Linked DNA regions of Macaca fascicularis. The protein of the gene in region 2 purifies or fractionates together with the protein of the main gene of each other region. This does not show direct contact. Links are inferred from orthologs where the notes say so. Each region holds a gene or a part of one and is shown on either strand. Other genes may lie near its edges.

Region 1 (3,652 bases), on a different chromosome or scaffold from region 2:
CTACTAGATATGTTTGCATTATTCAAGTTTCCAGTGTCTTACCTACTTTTTAAACACCCTAGGTTTTAAACTTTCCATTTCTTCCACCTGGGAAAAAAATTAATGTACTCTCTTCTAACAACTTTAATATAATGTTGACTTGTAGTCCTTAACCCTCATTCACATATAAATGTGGTTAAGAATAAGCCTTATTTTTCTTTCTTTTCATTAGAATTAACTATGACACTATAGACTGACAGAATCTAGGATAAAAAGACAATTTCAAATGTATTGAGGGTGGTGGGGTATCAAATACTACCTTCCTGAAATTACTTCTGGTGCAGCATAGTTGGGTGAGCCACAACTTGTTCTTAAAAATTCACCATCTGACATCATGTTTGAAAGACCTGAAAGTGCACAAAATCAGCTACTCAAAAGATTTCCCAAAGACAAAAATTAAAACCCCATTAAACAGTAAAATTGAGTTTGCATTAAAAATGACAAATCATCATTTTGTTATTTGCTTCAACAAAATCCTATGGTCTATTGTAGCCAAATATTCTGCCATTATGCCCTAAAATGTGTAATCTATTTCAACATTTAAAGTTAGTGCACTGTTAGAGTTTAATGCAAATATTAAGCTGTTGGTTATTTTGCTTATTAGAAAAAACTTGGCATGTTTAAGTTTTATTAATACAGAAATTACTAGGGAAAATAATCTATAACAGATGAATAGAAGGATTAAAATTCAAAGTTCCTATTAATCCTGTTCTGATTCTTTAAAAAAATTTTTTTAAAAAAAGCCAGTAATTTTGAATTTCAAAGTTCCCTCGTAGTTTTACTCCAAAAAGAAACCGTTGCTCCCCCAAAAATGCACCCTATAAAAATAATCAACTGAGGAATAAGAAATTCAAATAATTAAGCCAATTACTATTAAAAAAAGAAAAGAAAAAAGAAAGAAACACCAAAACAACCAGCTCAGGTTTGGTTGGCATTTTTCAGTTAATATCTAAACATTTAAGTAGATACAGGTGTAAATATAGATATACAGATGTAGTCAAAACTAAGGAAAATATTTATAAGAATGTTCTCTGGGCCAGACATGGTGGCTCACACCTGTAATCCCAGCACTTTGGGAGACCAAGACAGGCAGATCACTTGGGCTCAGGAGTTCGAGTCCACCTGGCCAACATAATGAAGCCCCATCTCTACCAAAAATACAAAAAAAAAAAAAAATGTAGCTGGGTGTGGTGGCACGCATCTGTGGTCCCAGCTACTTGGGAGGCTAAGGTGGGAGAATCACTTGAGCCTGGAAGGCGGAGGCTGAAGTGAGCAGAGATCACACCACTGCACTCCAGCCTGGGTGACAGAGTGAGACTCTGTCTCAAAACAAAAAACAAACAAAAAAAATTTATCTGATTTGAACTAAAACCAACCTAAAGAAAAGAAGTGCAGAGATTCCTTTTTCACTTAGGTTTAGTAAGGTCAATGGCAATTTATATAGGAAATACAGAAAAAACTAACTTTTTTTTTTTTTTTTTTTTTGAGACCATGTCACACTCTGTCGCCCAGGCTGGAGTACAGTGGCACACTCTCGACTCACTGCAACCTCCACCTCCTGGGTTCCAGCAGTTCTTCTGCCTCAGCCTCCCAGGTAGCTGGGACTATAGGCGCGCACCACCATGCCTGGGTAATTTTGTATTTTTAGTAGAAACGGGGTTTCACCATGTTGGCCAGGCTGGTCTCAAACTCCTGACCTCAGGTGATCCGCCCGCCTTGGCCTCCCAAAATGCTGGGATTACAAGCGTGAGCCATCATGCCCAGTCAAAATAAATTCATTTTTAACAATCAAAATGTTCTTTAAACAAATTATAATTTACTATCATTTAAAACATTTTAAAATAATTTTTAAATAAATTTTTTTAATTAAAAAATTGTTTTAAATAACTTTAAATAATTATAATTCACATAGTTCACTTCTGGCTTTCAAAGTTTTAAATAATTTCATCCCACTCACTTTCCTTCTTCTCCATACTTGATTCTTTTGAACATACTGGAAATAAAGCTGCTACCTTCTCTTCACAAATAATACTCTCTTTTTGAATAGTCTCTCTAATGCTACCAACTTAAGTTGTTTAAAATTTAATTTTAAAGATATTTAAAGAGCCAGGTGCAGTGGTGCATGCCTGTAATCCCCATACTTTGGGAAGCTGTGGCAGGAGGATCACTTGAGGCCAGGAGTTCGAGAGAAGCCTGGACAACATAGTGAGAACCCATCTCTACAAAAATACAAAAGTTAGCCTTGCATGGTAGTGCAGACCTGCAGTCCCAGCTACTCAGGAGGCTGAGGCAGGAGGGTCGCCTGGCCCAGCAGTTTGGGGCTACATTGAGCTATGATCACGTCACTGCCCTCCAGTCTGGGCAACAAAGCGAAACTCTGTCTCTATAAAATAATAGTAATAGTAATAAAGGCATTTAAACCTAAGAAAAGATGATTTCTTAGCTTTTCTTATTTTTGCATGTTCATAGACAAAATAGAATACTTTGACATACTCAGTCTATTACTTTATGTCATCGTTTACAGTTTTCTGAAGAATTCTATATAGGTTCATTGAAACTATAAGAACATTAGAAATGAACGTAAGAAACTATAAAATTATCCTTACCAAAATCGGCTATCTTTGCATTCATGTGTGCATCAAGCAGGACATTTTCAGGTTTCAAATCTCTATGGACTACCATATGCCTGTGACAATAATCCACACCAGAAAGGATCTGTTGGAATAGACGTCGACTTTCTTTTTCATCCAGCTAAGAAAAGTAGAGAGGCATTTTAAAGGTGTGTCTTTCAAAGTAAATTGTCCTATATATAATTCTCCAACATATAAAATTGTCAAAATACATGAAAATCTTCCAAATGAACTTATGAGATACTTTTGACAGGAGGAGGAGATACCTGTAGCACAAAACAGAAATGCTAAGATGGTCTTGGAACCCAAATCAGTAACTCAAGTTTCTAATATTATCATTTGCATATGACTACATTGTAACAGCTTGCCTTCTCATGAGTTATTTCAAATAATTTCAATATCTACTTGAAATGTGGCATATTTTCTTTTATAAGCCGGAAATGTTTAATTTTTCATTCTTATAACAAATATTTACTAAATACCTTCAATGTGCTATACATTGTTTTAGACATTCATTACACAGCAATGAATAAAACAAAGACCCTAATCTAGTTGATGAAAATAGACTAATAAATATAGTCTGAAGGAGTGATACTGTTTTGAAGAAAAACAAAGCAAAATATGGGTACAGTGAGTGACAGTGGGGTGGGGGATACTATTTTAGACCATGAGGAAGTAATATTTAAGCACTATTCATAAACCAGCACGCAACTATGTTGCTATATGTCCCAAAATATAAGATATTGTAACAAGAAATACCTTAATTAATTTAATAAAATATCATAGCATTTTATGTTTAATATGCTTGCTGGAAAAAAAAATCTTATGTAGCAACTACCTTTTTGTTTTTGTTTTTGTTTGTTTTGGGTTTTTAAATTTATATTTTGAGACCCAGTCTCATTCTGTTATCAAGGCTGGAGTTCAGTAGTGCCATCACGGCTCACTGCAACCTCCACTTCCCTGGGCTCCAGCAATCCTCCCAC
Region 2 (3,595 bases):
GGCAGGAGAATTGCTTGAATCCGGGAGGTGGAGGATGCAGTGAGCCAAGATCGCACCATTGTACTCTAGCCCAGGCGACAGAGCAAGACTCTGTCTAAAAAAAAAAAAAAAAAAAAAAAAAAATCTTAGCCGGTCGTGGTGGCTCATGCCTGTAATCTCAGCACTTTGGGAGGCCAAGACAGGTGGATCACTTGAGGTCAGGAGTTGGAGACCGGCCTGGCCTATATGGTGAAACCTCATCTCTACTAAAAATACCACCCCCCAAAAATTAGCTGGGCGTGGTGGGGGTTGCCTGTAATCGCAGCTACTCAGGAGGCTGAGGCACAAGAATTGCTTGATCCTGGGAGGCAGAGGTTGCAGTGAGCCGAGATGGTGCCACTGCACTCCAGCCTGAGTGACAAAGCGAGACTCCATCTCAAAACAACAACAAAAAAGCCCAACATTCTTGAGGAAATGGAGCAGTGAGAATAAGGATTGGATACCAGACAATAATATGAATTATTCATGGTTTTGTTTGGTGGTATAAAATGCATTTTTTTTTTTTTTGGAGTCTTGCTCTGTTAACAGGCTGGAGTGCAGTGGCGTGATCTTGGCTCACTGCAACCTCCGCTTCCCAGGTTCAAGCGATTCTCCTGCCTCAGCCTCACAAGTAGCTGGGTCTAGAGGTGTGCACCCCCACACCCAGCTAATTTTTTTTGTAGTTTTAGTACAGACAGGGTTTCACCACATTGGCCAGGATAGTCTCGATCTCTTGACCTTGTGATCCGCCCACCTTGGCCTCCCAAAATGCTGGGATTACAGGCGTGAGCCACCGCCCCTGGCCAAAAATACACTTGTTTTAAGAGGTGCAGACTAAAATGTTTAGGGGTGAGATGACATGATGTCTGTAATTTACTTTGAATTACTTCAGAGAAGAGATGAACTGTTTATGGCAATACAGTAACAGTAGTTAATCTAGGCAATGGATATAGGTGGTTCATTATGCAGTTTCTTTGTACCATTTTCATATGTTTGAAGTTTTATATAATCAAAAATAAATTGAAAACAGTTCTTGATATCTATCTTAATTATGGTGATTTTAGCTTTGAAATATTTCATAGCCATCATTCAACCAAAGAAATAATCTTGTCGTCCCTCTAGCCCTTTTTCAGTGTAGGAAACTGAGGTCTGGCTAGGGGCCCGAGGTCCCATGGCACATTTTACTTTTTAAATTTTATTATTTCGTTATTATTTTAGAGACAGGGTCTTGCTCTGTTGCCCAGCCTGAAGTGTCACTGTATGTAAACTCAAACTTCTGGCCTCAAGCTACCTTCTCGCTCTGGCCTCTTTCAAAGTGCTGGCATTACAGCCGTGCACCACGTGCCTGGCTCCATTTTAAGATGAACTAAAACTAAAATCTGCTGCTTCCTGTCACTATGCTCATTTTCGTGCATATAACCTTTTAAATCCTCCTGTGAAGTCAGAAAGATGAGTGTTGTGAAGAATCCCATTTCACAAAGGAGGAAACTGAGGCACAGAGAGGCTAAGCAACCGGCCCAAGTCTCAGAGCAGATGGAGACTTCTAATCCATAGTCCATCCTGTACCCCCCACAGGGATGGCATGGGAACCCCTGCCCTTCCCATATTCTCCCCTGCCAGGTTCTCCCAGGCCCCAGCCCAGCCCAAGCCTCTCATCCTGTGCTGGGTACCACATTCGTTGACCACAGGCAGTGCAGACACACGCCGGTCCACAAAGATGTCCAGTGCAGTCAGGATGGGTGCTGTCTCCAGCACCACAGCCAAGTCTCGGAATGTGCCGATGCCCAAATCTTGGATAGTGCGGTAGAGGAAGGAGGGCCGGGGCAGCAGGGAACCCTGGTTAGGAAGGGGACCCGGTGGAGATCAGGGATCCAGCAGCTTCAAGAGGGCTCCCAGCTCCTCCCTCCGATTCCTAGGGCTGAAGACTCCTCAGGCCCTCTGATCACCCTTCTCCCGCTTCCTCCCACCTGGGCCCAGGCTCACAAAGATGTGCAGGAACTTGAGCAGGCGTTTGTGCGTGAGGATGTGGAGTACGTTGCCTGACACCGGGTCCAGAACAGGCAGGCGATGGATCCGGTTCTTGATGAGGGTGTAGACAGCTTCAAACAGGCTGCAGAGATGGGAGCAGTGAGCCTCGAGGCAGCCTGGGGAGAGACACCCGCCATCCCAGCCCCCTAAAAAGGAGGGCAGAGCACCAAGGCTCCCTTGTCCGTGTGTCGCCTAGGATGAAGAGGTGAGTTCAGAGCTGAGTGGGACTGAGGAAGGGGACTGTGGGAGGAGGAGGCACAGGTGAATGAGCAGGGACACCCACCTGTCATTAGGAGAGATGGAGACCAGAGGCTTGAAGCAGCCTTGCAGGTAGATCTCTGCAGAAAGAGCCAGAGTCAGGCCAGGGGAGCTGGTCACCTGCCTCGCCTTGCAATCCCAGGCAGCTTCCCTTCTTTCAGGCACCCGGGGCTCCTATTGTCCCTCCCCTGTTCGCTCCAGGACATCCCCCCTGCCCATCCTCCGCCTTAGGCCCTGGCCCACCCTCACCAACAGCCCCTTTCCGGGTTCCTCTCCCCACTCACCCCTCCAGGTCTCAATCTTATGTTGTTCAATCTCATAGATCTGGACCTAGAGATATCAACAGGACTCCAGAAGTCAGACAGACATGGGCTTCTAGGGCACCAGGCTCCAGGAGGACTTCCCTCCGCCCCCGCCCCTCTGGGTGCTCATAAGATTCCCAGCCCACTCCTCACCAGGGGGGACCTGTAGTAGCGATGCAGCACCAGGATGAAGTCAGTGATGGTCAGCATCCCTGCAGGGGAGGGGCGGGGAGGAGGTCAGCTTGGGGCCTTTGGGTGGGAAGCAGGTTGAGGATCAGATCCCCTCCCCACCCTGCCAGTTTCCTTGCACTGAGACACAGTGGGGACTGTGGGAAGAGGACAGTGGGACAGCCCCCCAGGCCTGAGAAGTGGGGCTCTTTCTCTCCTGCCTCCCCGCATTTGCTCCCTAGCACCTACGGCATGGGGCCATGCAGTAGCAGAGCTGGAAGGTGTCAGCTGGTCACAGCGGCTCCACAGATGGAGAAATTGAGCCCCAGGGTCTCCCAGCTGGCCACGCAGACTCGGGACGGACTTTCCCCCACCCTGGCCCCTGGCTGGGCTTGGCCTGAAGCCAAGCTTGTGCTATATCAGAGATTGGCCCCAGAACAACCGTATGAGGTCCCCACCTCCCCTTCTCCATCTCCCTTCACCTCCCCAGCCTCTTCTCACCCACAAAGCTCTGCTTCTTGCTGTCCCATAGAGGGGCTGCCCGCACACCGTTGGCCACCAGAGCAAAGAAGGCCTTCTTGATCTGAGGGGCCAGGGAGAACAGTCAAGGGTGGGTCCTGAGAGACCCTCACCCTCCTCTCTGCCCCTCAGTGGGCACCTCCCATCTGCCTGCTGTCCCCTCCCTGTCTCACCCAGGGTTCTTCCATGGGGCCTTCTCCTGGACCCTCCTCTACACCAGCTGGCCTGTCTTTCTCATGACACAGTACACACTAGACATGATCATTGCTGCGGACATGTGGTACATAGATAAGGCTGTGGCC
Region 3 (3,652 bases), on a different chromosome or scaffold from region 2:
ATTTGGTCACCCTGGCCACCCAGGATGAGGAAAGGTGATGAAGGGGAAAGTTTAGACACTACAATACTAACTAATAAAATATGAATGGAGAAATGTGACAAAGAATCTGACAAATCAGTTAATTTTAAAAAGTGAAACCTACTTCCCTATTGTTCCTTACTTGTGCTCCATGGCCAATACTTCAAATGATTCTTTTATGCCACGGAGATACTTCTTGTGGAAAGATGCCAGGTAAGAGGTATTCAACATGTCTTTCATCCTTTTCACTTCACTTACATTTTGGTTAAGTCTAAGATTACTTAAAAACCAGTGCATGACCTACCCACCGGATGTCTTCGAGATGATTTTAACATCTGGTCAACTAGTGCCAAGTTTTATCTTCTCAGAGCTCATGCAATGCATAGCTTCCTTACCATCAATGCTTTTAAAGTCCAAAAGATAGCTCCTGTTATCAACCAGGTAAAGTTGTAAGCTCATTTTCACGTAATTGCCAGTCACTGGATTTTTTCTTCTTACACGAAGATGGTATGCATTCACTACCTAAAGTGAAAAATCAATAAAAATAATCAACTACAAAATATCTCCCTTTTTATGCAAAAAAAGGTCAAAATAAGTAATTAATAGGGGTGAGATAGGAAAGGAATATCTGAATAATTTTTTTATATTACTGGTAGTTTACTTTAGTATTTATTTAATCCCCACTAGCAGTATTGTATGGCAATTAAGATTTAAAGGAAAAGCTACTTGAATAAATTTGGGGTACTGAAGAAAAAAGTGAAATATAAAAGAAAAAGAGAACCCAGAGATTACATCGGGTCTAGCTTTCACTCTAGATAAGCATCAACTCTAAAACATCAATTATAATTTGGTTGCCCAGTCTCTGCTTGAACCATGTTCATGGATGCTTGTGGAGTAGAAGGAACAAAGAGGACCAGGCATGGTGGCTTATGCCTGTAATTCCAACACTTTGGGAGGCAAAAGTGGGTGGACTGCCTGAGCCCAGGAGCTTGAGACCGGCCTGGGCAACATGGTAAAACCCCATCTCTACAAAAGCATACCAAAAAAATCAGCTGAGTGTGGTGGCAGGCGCCTGTAGTCCCAGCTACGAGGGAAGCTGAGGTGAGAGGATAGCCTGACCCTGGGTTGCAGTGAGCCAAGACTGCACCACTGCACTCCAGCCTGGGCAATAGAGTGAGACTCTGTCTCAAAAAAACAAACAAACAACAACAACAAAACAAACAAACAAAAAAACACTGCATTGAAGGTTCTGGATTTTCAAAACATCTGTGGTACTAGTTTCAAAAATGTTTCAGTACAGAATTTTAAAAATGTTAACATTTCTTTTTTAACTAAATACGACTGCTTCAAAACAAAGAGATCTGTTTTTTAAATGATTTTAAGAAAATATTTATTTCATGTACAGATAATAAAATGAAAATGACTGATTTATTTGAACATGTCAAATGCATATTTATGTGGTAATTTTGCACATTTTTCTTCTTCCTTTAAAAGTTCACAATCCTCAAGAAAAGAACAAGAGTGAAAGGCATATCCGAAGAAAAAAATGCCCCTCCCCACACATATATTCAAATAGAACTGAAATGAAATTGAGCACTAATTTTTAAGAAAAGCAAACTGTGGCGTGAGAGTAAGGAAAATATACTATAAGTATTAAAAGCACTAGCCAAATAAGAGAGAATATCACAACTTGGAGAAAAGTGTTAATTGACTGAATAAATATGTCCTGATATAATTTGTACTGACCACTAGCTATTACAACCACCTGCCTCTGTTCCCTAAAAAGAAAAGAAAAAAAAAACCTCCCTAAAAAAAAGAGAAAGTAAAAACATACTATCTTTGAAGACACTCATGATTTTTCATTGCTATGATGTATGCTGAAACTGGTAAGCTATTTTCTCAGAAGGTTTCTAGTTGATTCCTTTTTTTCTTGACCAAGAACACTGCTATAATTCAAAATATGTTGGTTCCCAGTATCAACCACTTTTCATCCTTACAGAGGTTATTTGTTTTGTTTTTAATGTGCATGGCATATTACTAGAAAAAGATGGGCTTAATACTCAACTCAGGAGCTCAGAGCAGCTTACAATATAGAAAAATGACTTCTACAAATGATCTTATTACATTATAATTTCCTACCTTCCATTCAAAATCCAGCTGCTTCATAGCTCGGTAAACTTCAGCCATAATGTCATATGGTTTGCTCTGACTTCGGATTCCAAGATGCCACTTGGCTTTTTTCACGGCTAAAGATTTGGGCTTAGTCGTATTCAGTGCATCCAATGGACATCTTGCCTTGGGGCTGTCTGCTATAAGAGGTGGCATCCTTTCTGGATGAGGCTTCAGGCCTGGGGGAATATGCATGGCACTATCATCCATAAAAGAACCAGACGGAGGACTAGAGGCGAGGTAGAACTCACTGGCTTGGTTCATTATTCTCCGATTGTCAATGATAAGATGATAAGCCACTGCAAGCTGGTCTTGAGGGTCACCACTATATAAACTGTTCATTACTTCTGATTCTGTACATTCAAATTTTTCACACACTTCTTTCACAGCCTCATCATCAATGACGTTAGCATCATAGGAAGGGTCTTCAGGAAATAAGTAACTGGGCAAATCTTGTTTAAACCATTCATGCTCTCTAGGAAAAACACCACAATACACTATTGTAAGACACGCTTTGGCAAGTCCAAATAATTTAGACATAGGGCAACATAATAGAATATAATCAAAAGATCTGGTCTCTAGACCTAGCTCTGCCACTTACTAGCTATGTGATCCTAAGCAAGTTAATTACCCACTACCCTTGAATAACTATGGTTATTAAGACTTGGCATTTGGCCGACATTTTCTCAAAAATGAAAAAAGCGAGCCCATCGCTTTAAGGAAAACAACCAGCAATATTTGTTGCTAATGATAAAATTCAAGCTTTCAAGCAAAACTTTTGTATGATTTGTATGAGTTTCACAGCTTCTCAATACTTAAAGACTTTCTGATAAAGTTGGTGTTAATAATAATAAATACACTTTTTTTCTTTCCCAACCACTTATCTGAGTGAGGTCAGACCTTCTTTATACACTTCAACTAATACAAAATAATGCAACAGATTGAATGAAGAAGGTATGAGAACCTAGCTGTCTTTGATATAAAGTCATTCTTCTCACAATTTTTTTTGGAAAATATGGTGATTTTTCATGAAAGATGTATTATTTAACATGTAGTAGGTTTATAGTTATTTTTAAGTAAATTAAATATTTTCTTAATTTCTCAGTTTTAATTCTAATACAGTAAATATTGATAGATATAACCTGCATTTTTAAAAATTCCCCTTGAGGTCCTCAATAAGTTTTAAGAGTTACAAGATTTTAAAATCAAAAATTTTGAGAACTGCTCTCCTAAGCCTTATTTTCCCACACTTCTGGGCCTTTGCGCTTGATGTTACTATTGTTATCCTAGAATATCAAACTATTTTCATCTAACACAAACTACTCCTTCGAGATTGTTCAGGCATTACTACCTGGTAGAATTGGGCATCCCGTAAGTTCAGATGAAGACATATTTTGACTGAATGTCTTCTATTCACTGATTAATTTATTTTTGAATATTTACTGAGGACATACTATGGATAAAA

What was found.
Region 1: the proteins of PRKAG3 (region 2) and PRKAA1 purify together in Homo sapiens (affinity purification with mass spectrometry; 3 studies listed by BioGRID and IntAct, counting the BioPlex papers as one, with this or other methods). This does not show direct contact. The link is inferred for Macaca fascicularis from reciprocal best matches to the Homo sapiens genes PRKAG3 and PRKAA1.
Region 3: the proteins of PRKAG3 (region 2) and PRKAA2 purify together in Homo sapiens (affinity purification with mass spectrometry; 3 studies listed by BioGRID and IntAct, counting the BioPlex papers as one, with this or other methods). This does not show direct contact. The link is inferred for Macaca fascicularis from reciprocal best matches to the Homo sapiens genes PRKAG3 and PRKAA2.

What each region holds. Positions count from the first base shown.
Region 1 is NC_088380.1:41,067,965-41,071,616, forward strand, and holds part of PRKAA1 (5'-AMP-activated protein kinase catalytic subunit alpha-1), read right to left. Parts: intron 2,791-3,652; coding exon 2,646-2,790; intron 387-2,645; coding exon 299-386; intron 1-298. UniProt on the Homo sapiens protein: Catalytic subunit of AMP-activated protein kinase (AMPK), an energy sensor protein kinase that plays a key role in regulating cellular energy metabolism.
Region 2 is NC_088386.1:114,757,815-114,761,409, forward strand, and holds part of PRKAG3 (5'-AMP-activated protein kinase subunit gamma-3), read right to left. Parts: intron 3,358-3,595; coding exon 3,276-3,357; intron 2,819-3,275; coding exon 2,760-2,818; intron 2,635-2,759; coding exon 2,589-2,634; intron 2,385-2,588; coding exon 2,330-2,384; intron 2,239-2,329; coding exon of another isoform or gene 2,193-2,238; exon of another isoform or gene 2,129-2,192; coding exon 2,002-2,128; intron 1,855-2,001; coding exon 1,689-1,854; intron 1-1,688. UniProt on the Homo sapiens protein: AMP/ATP-binding subunit of AMP-activated protein kinase (AMPK), an energy sensor protein kinase that plays a key role in regulating cellular energy metabolism.
Region 3 is NC_088375.1:177,974,852-177,978,503, forward strand, and holds part of PRKAA2 (5'-AMP-activated protein kinase catalytic subunit alpha-2), read right to left. Parts: intron 2,663-3,652; coding exon 2,158-2,662; intron 541-2,157; coding exon 414-540; coding exon of another isoform or gene 358-413; exon of another isoform or gene 323-357; intron 1-322. UniProt on the Homo sapiens protein: Catalytic subunit of AMP-activated protein kinase (AMPK), an energy sensor protein kinase that plays a key role in regulating cellular energy metabolism.